Linked DNA regions of Lonchura striata. The protein of the gene in region 1 interacts with the protein of each later gene in a pairwise test. Links are inferred from orthologs where the notes say so. Each region holds a gene or a part of one and is shown on either strand. Other genes may lie near its edges.

The links.
Region 2: the proteins of MAPK7 (region 1) and UBE2C interact in binary tests that used the Homo sapiens proteins (3 or more experiments, as listed by UniProt). The two-hybrid records come from large-scale screens. The link is inferred for Lonchura striata from reciprocal best matches to the Homo sapiens genes MAPK7 and UBE2C.

Annotation. Positions count from the first base shown.
Region 1 is NC_134637.1:104,367-108,284, reverse strand, and holds the start of MAPK7 (mitogen-activated protein kinase 7), read right to left. Parts: upstream 2,724-3,918; 5' UTR 2,569-2,723; intron 1,347-2,568; 5' UTR 1,302-1,346; coding exon 698-1,301; intron 1-697. UniProt on the Homo sapiens protein: Plays a role in various cellular processes such as proliferation, differentiation and cell survival. The upstream activator of MAPK7 is the MAPK kinase MAP2K5.
Region 2 is NC_134619.1:8,182,332-8,185,298, reverse strand, and holds UBE2C (ubiquitin-conjugating enzyme E2 C), read right to left. Parts: upstream 1,947-2,967; coding exon 1,846-1,946; intron 1,769-1,845; coding exon 1,741-1,768; intron 1,623-1,740; coding exon 1,536-1,622; intron 1,362-1,535; coding exon 1,157-1,361; intron 1,031-1,156; coding exon 971-1,030; intron 834-970; coding exon 775-833; downstream 1-774. Other genes in the region: regulator of G-protein signaling 9-binding protein-like, read left to right, coding at 1-372; DNTTIP1 (deoxynucleotidyltransferase terminal-interacting protein 1), read right to left, coding at 2,715-2,853. UniProt on the Homo sapiens protein: Accepts ubiquitin from the E1 complex and catalyzes its covalent attachment to other proteins. In vitro catalyzes 'Lys-11'- and 'Lys-48'-linked polyubiquitination.

The DNA.
Region 1 (3,918 bases):
CTCCAGGTGAGCCCCGGGTGTGCCCCAGGTGTGCCCAGGTGAGCCCAGGTGTGCCCCAGGTGTGCCCAGTTGTGTCTCAGATGAGCCCTGGGTGTGCCCCGGGTGTGCCCAGGTGTCTCCTGGTGTGTTTTGGGTGTCCCCAAGTGTGCCCAGGTGTGTCCCAGGTGTCTCCAGGTGCGTTTTGGGTGTGCCTGGGTGTATCCCAGGTGTGCCCAGGTGTGTCTCAGGTGTCTCCAGGCGTGTTTCGTGTGTCCCCAGGTGTGCCCAGGTGTATCTTAACTGTGCCCAGGTGTGCCCAGGTGTATTTTGGGTGCCCCCAGGTGTATTTTGGGTGTCCCCAGGTGCATTTTGAGTGCCCCCAGGTGCATTTTGAGTGCCCCCAGGTGTATTTTGGGTGTCCCCAGGTGTATTTTGGGTGCCCCCAGGTGTATTTTAGGTGCCCCCAGGTGCATTTTGAGTGCCCCCAGGTGTATTTTGGGTGCCCCCAGGTGTATTTTGGGTGTCCCCAGGTGTATTTTGGGTGCCCCCAGGTGTATTTTAGGTGCCCCCAGGTGCATTTTGAGTGCCCCCAGGTGTATTTTGGGTGCCCCCAGGTGTATTTTGGGTGCCCCCAGGCGCCCCCAGGTGTATTTTGGGTGCCCCCAGGTGTATTTTGGGTGCCCCCAGGTGTATTTCGGGCGCGGCCCAGGCCTCTCACCGGTGTCGCGCCGCCGGGCCGAGCTGACCACGCCGTAGGCGCCGGTGCCGATGGTCTCGATGACCTCGTAGTCGTCGCCGACGTCGAAGGTGACGTCGAGCGCCCGCGCCTTCAGCAGCGCCAGCGGCCCCGGCGCCTCGGGGGCGTGGTCTGCGCCCGGGGGGGCGTGGTCTGGGCCATGGGGGGCGTGGTCTGTGCCATGGGGGGCGTGGTCTGGGCCATGGGGGGCGTGGTCTGTGCCATGGGGGGCGTGGCCTGTACCATGGTGGGCGTGGTCTGTGCCATGGGGGGCGTGGCATGTGCCATGGGGGGCGTGGCATGTGCCATGGGGGGCGTGGCCTGGGCCATGGTGGGTGTGGTCTGGCACATTGGGGGCGTGGTCTGGCACATGGTGGGCGTGGTCTGGCACATGGTGGGCGTGGCCTGTGCCATGGGGGGCGTGGTCTGGCACATGGTGGGCGTGGTCTGGCACATGGTGGGCGTGGCCTGTGCCATGGTGGGCGTGGCCTGGGCCATGGTGGGCGTGGCCTGGCACATGGGGGGCGTGGTCTGGCACATGGGGGGCGTGGCCTGTTCCGTCAGGGGCGGGGCCCGGCTCGGCCATGGCGCCGGCGCGGGTGGGATCGGTTGGGGGAGGGGGAGGAGTCACCTGAAAAAAGCGAAAATCACCCCAAAAAAATCGTCTGGGATCGGCGGGGATCCTCCCCCAGTTCGTCCCAGTTCATCCCGGTTCCCTCCCAGTTATGCCGGGACCTCCCCTAAACCCGTCCCAGTAAAGCCCAGTTCTGTCCCAGTCCCACCCAGTCCACCCCAGTCCATCCCAGTTCACCCGGTTTGCCTCCAGTTCCTCCCAGTTCCCTCCCAGTCTATCCCAGTTCCCTCCCAGTCCCTCCATGTCCATCCCAGTTCATCCCAGTTCATCTCAGTCCCCTCCCAGTCTGTCCCAGTTACTCCAGGACCCCCCTTAACCCCTCCCAGTTCTCCCAGTTCCCTTCCCAGTTACCCCAGTTCCCATCCAGTTCCCTCCCAGTCCCTCCCAGTTTATCCCAGCCCCTCCCAGTTCCCTCCCAGTCCCTCCCCTTTCCCTCCCAGTTCACTCCCAGTCCCCCCCAGTTCCCTCCCAGTTTATCCCAGTTCCCTCCCAGTCCCTCCCAGTTCCCTCCCAGTCCCTCCGTGTCCATCCCAGTTCATCCCAGTCCCCTCCCAGTCTGTCTCAGTTACTCCAGGACCCCCCTAAACCCTCCCCAGTTCTCCCAGTCCCTCCCAGTTCCTCCATGTCCATTCCAGTCCCTCCATGTCCATCCCAGTTTATCCCAGTCCCCCCCAGTCCATCCCAGTTCACCCAGTTTGCCTCCAGTTCCCTCCCAGTTCCCTCCCAGTCCCTCCGTGTCCATCCCAGTCCCCTCCCAGTCCTTCCCAGTTCCCCCCCAGTCCATCCCAGTTTATCCCAGTCCCCCCCAGTCTCTCCCAGTTTATCCCAGTTCCCTCCCAGTCCTTCCCAGTCCCTCCCAGTTTATCCCAATCCCATCCCAGTCTCCCCCAGTCTCTCCCAGTTTATCCCAGTCCCCCCCAATACCATCCCAGTCTCCCCCAATCCCATCCCAGTCTCTCCCAGTTTATCCCAGTCTCTCCCAGTTTATCCCAATCCCATCCCAGTCTCCCCCAATCCCTCCCAGTTTGTCCCAGTTTATCCCAGTTCCCCCCAGTCCCTCCCGTCCCCCCCCCCGGGGGCCGTTGCCATGGCGACCCCGCGGCTCTTCCCTCTCCCCCCCCCGCGCTCTTACCGCCCCCGCCGCCCCTCCCGCCGCTCCCGCCGGGCCCGGGAAGCGGCGCCGCCCGGCCCCGCCCCCTGCGCCGCTTCCGGGACGCACTTCCGGCCTCCCCGCGGCGGTTCCGGCCTCGGAGGATTTCCGCGGCGCCCGGGGATTTTTGGGGAACTTTTCCCGCTCGTCCGGGCGGCTTTGGAGGAATTTTGGGTCATCGCCGTGGTGTTTAAAGGATTTCCGGTTGGTTCTGTGGAACTTCCGGGTTCTCTCCATGGCGGACTTCCGGTTGGTCTCGACGGTTCCATGGAACTTCCGGCTCGTCTCTGTGGTGCTTCCCATTCATCTCTATGGGCAGGCTCTGGTCGCTCCTGCGCATGCGCGGCCGCCGTGAGGGATCTACCATTCATCTCTATTGATGGCTCTGGTCGCTCCTGCGCATGCGCGGCCGCTATGAGTGACCTCCCATTCATGTCTATTGACGGCTCTGGTCGCTCCTGCGCATGCGCGGTCTCCATTAGGGACCTCCCATTCATGTCTATGGACGGCTCTGGTCGCTCCTGCGCATGCGCGGTGTCCATTAGGGTCCTCCCATTCATGTCTATGGACGGCTCTGGTCGCTCCTGCGCATGCGCGGTGTCCATTAGGGACCTCCCATTCATGTCTATGGACGGCTCTGGTCGCTCCTGCGCATGCGCGGTGTCCATTAGGGACCTCCCATTCATGTCTATTGACGGCTCTGGTCGCTCCTGCGCATGCGCAGCCGCCATGAGGGACCGGACGCGGGAACTGCGCCAGGCGAGAGCCCAGAAAAATGGGGAAAAAAAAGGAAAAAACGGGGAAAAAAGCCAAAAAGCGGGAAAAGGAGCCCGGAATCGGGATGGGGGAAGGCGGAAATGGAGGAGGGAGTGAGGAAAAAGGGGGAAGAGCCCAGAAATTGGGGAAGAAAGGGCGAAAATGGGAGCGGGGAGCTCGGGAATGGCGAAAAGTGGGAAAAAGATGTGAAAATGTGGGAAAAAAGCACAAAGAAACGGGTTGGGAGGCCAGAAATGCGGGAAATGAGGGAAAAAGTCGGAAATGAACCCAAAAATTGGGAAAAGAGCCCAAAAAATCAGGAAAAAGAGCGAAAATCAGGAAATAAACCCAAAAATCAGGAGAATGAAGTCAAAAATTGGGAAAATGTTTCTAAAAAAATGGGGAAAAGAGTTCAAAAATTGGGAAAAGAGCCCAAAAATTAGGTGAAGAGTCTAAAAACCAGGAAAAAGAGGCGAAAATCAGGAAATAAACTCAAAAATCAGGAGAATGAACTCAAAAATTGGAAAAATGTTTCCAAAAAAAATGGGGAAAAGAGTTCAAAAATTGGGAAAAGAGCCCAAAAATTAGGCGAAGAGTCTAAAAACCAGGAAAAAGAGGCGAAAATCAGGAAATAAACCCAAAAATCAGGAGAATGAACTCAAA
Region 2 (2,967 bases), on another chromosome or scaffold:
GAGCTGGAGCGGCTCTGGGTGCTCTTCCTCTCTGCCCTGGAGCTCTTCCTGCAGGACCTGTACAGAGCCCAGCACCTCTGCCAGCTCTTCTCCGTGCAAGGGGGTGGTGTTGCCCCGCTGCACACCGGGCTGGGGGGCTGGGGGCTGCCCAGCCGGCGAGGAGGGGGTCCCACACAGCCCCCGACTGCCCAGTGCTTGGAGGAGGAGATCGAGCAGGTGAGGGCCACGCTGGCAGAGATGGAGAGCGGAGCCAACATTCCACCATGGACAGTGGAAGCCACAGAGACCACACAGCCAGCAGAGACAAGTGGCACCACACAGAGAGCGGCCTGGGGCGGCCCCTGCGCTGGGCACTGCTGTGGGGTGCTGTGAGCTAGGGGGGCAGGAGATAGCAGCAGAGGTGACACCCCTGTCACAGAGCAGGAGACAGAGGTACCCCTACAGTCCTCAGCCCCTGCCTTTGCAGGTTATGGTGTGGGCTGCTCCCACCCTGTAGATAGAATTGCTCCAGGCCCCCAAATATTGATAAAGCTTTCATTACCCCACAGGGGTCAGTATCCCTTCCACCCTTCACGCCCACACTTGCAGAGGGGCCTCTTGGGCACTCAGGGTGTGCTAGAGCTGCCACAGAATCCCCTGCAGAAGTTATAAACCTGCATTTATTTATACATTAACCATGGCTCGGACTGCGACATTAATTTAAAAACAGCCTATGATACAGAACGCGGGGGATGGCCGGGAGGGAGGGGATGTGTTGAGGGGTGGTGGTGATGGTCAGGTCTCCTGGCTCTTGGTCTGCTTGTTGTACGTCTCCCGCACATACTTCTTGTAGGCTGAGGAAAGAGAGAACATGACACCAAGGGTCCTGAGGCAGTGGCCAGGGAGCTGTGGGGCCAGACAGGCACTGGGAGCTGTGCTGCTGCCCATCCCACTGGGGAGAGGGCAGGAGGGTTCTGCTTCAGGTACTCACCAACTTGGTTGTTCCAGAGCTCAGCAGCATGTGTGTTCAGAGGGCTCTCGATGTTTGGCTCTGGAAACAGTGGCTGCGTTAGCTGGTGACCTGGACACCCTTGAGCCCTGATCTGGGTTGGACAGCCCCACCACCACCACCACCCCTTCCCCCAGCACTCCACAGCAGTTTGTCCGCGAGACCCACCTGCCAGCAGGCTCTGTATGGAGAGCAGGATGGTGCGGACATCATAGAGCGCTGACCACTTTTCCTTGAGGATGTCGAGGCAGATGTTGCCCTGGGTGTCGACGTTGGGGTGGTAGCAGGGGGTCAGGAACCGCACGGTGGGTGCTGTGTAGGGGTACCCACTGGGGAACTCCAGTGACAGCTTGTACCGCAGCTCCTCGTAGGCCTGGGGTGAGAGTCAAGTGGGACAGGAGTCAGGGGGGGCTGTAGCCCCAGAGGTGTGGGGAAGCCTCGAAGAAAAAGAGGTACAAGGGCAATGGAGGGCTAGGAACACCCTCAGCTGAAGGGAGGAAGGTGGGGCAGGGTCAGGGCCACCTCAGACCGGGATTTCGCCTCTCACCGTCCCGGCGGCGCCGTCAATGGTCCCGATCCACTTGAAGAGGTTGTCGGACTCGGGGAAGGCAGAAATGCCTTTGTCACCGGACATCTGCGGGGGCAGCGCGTCAGGGCGGCCCGGGACGCCCCGAGACACCCCCCCAACCCAGTTCAGTCCCGGGTGCCTTTGGGATCCCCAATCCCCGGCTCGGCCCCGGGGCCCCACTCACCATCAATGCCATCAGCTCTTGCTGCAGCCTGCGGAGAAAGCGCACGTTACCGGCCGGCTCACCGGGGCCGCCCCCGCCCTCAGCCCCGGCCCCGGTTCCGCTCACCTCTTCCCCACCGCGCCGCGGGCCGCCGTGGCCCCGGTCTCAGCCGCTTTGCGGGCGGCTGCGCTGGACACGGCGGCGGGGTCGGCGTTCTGTGAGGCCATAGCGGCTCCCGGGGCACGGACCAGCACACTGGCACCGGCCGCCGCTGCCGGCGGGTCACGGGCGGGACCGGCTCCGGCTCCGGCTCCCGGGCGGCGCCGCACCGGGCTCCGCTGCTCTCTCCCTCCCTCCCGCAGTCCCGCTCGGGGCAGGACTCGGGCCCCTCTGCGGCTCCCCGGTGCCGAGCGGCGGTGCTTGGGGCTCTCCCGTGAGGCGGCGGCCCGATCCCAATCCCGTTCCAGACGGTCTCCGATTCAGGAGCGGCTGAGTGTCAAACCCCCTCGGTGCAGAGCGGCTGGGTGCCACCCCCTCTCCGGTGCAGAGCGGCTCGGTCCCAACTCCTCTCCGGTGCAGAGCGGCTGGGCCCAACCACTCTCCAGTGCAGACCGGCTCGATCCCAACTCCTCTCCGGTGCAGGAGCGGCTCAGTCCCAACCCCTCCCCGGTGCAGAGCGGCCCGGTCGCAGCCCCGGGCCCGGACACTCTCCAGTCCGCTCGTCCCGCGCGGCCCCGCCTGCTCCCGCGCCCCGTTTGAATATTTCCACGTGCGTCCCCCCCACCAATCAGCGCGCAGCCCCGTTCGAGCCGGCCAATCACGGCCCGCCGAGGATGCCGCTCCCACGGTAACGGCCGGCGGGCGCCGGCAGTGACGCTCCGCGCTCTGATTGGCCGCTGCCCCGCGGGTCCCGCCGGCCCGGACGCGGCCCGAGCCCGGTGCCCGGTGCCCGAGGAAGCGGCGAGCTGCGAGCGAAGCGGCTTTATTGGGGGGCATCAGGGTTCGGGGGGCTCCTCGGGGGCCGGCACGTCCCCCCCGCGGCGAAGCGTCTCCATGTGCTTCTGCATCTTCTCAGTCATCCAGGCTGGTGGGATGAAGGGCTTCAGCTCTTCCAGCCGCAGATCAACAGAGTCCCTGCGGAGGAACAGGGTGACATGGAGGGACACAGCACCCACTGCCGACCCACCATGTCCCCTGGCACACATCAGTACCAGGCCCAGACCCACCAAACCCACCATGAATCTCAAT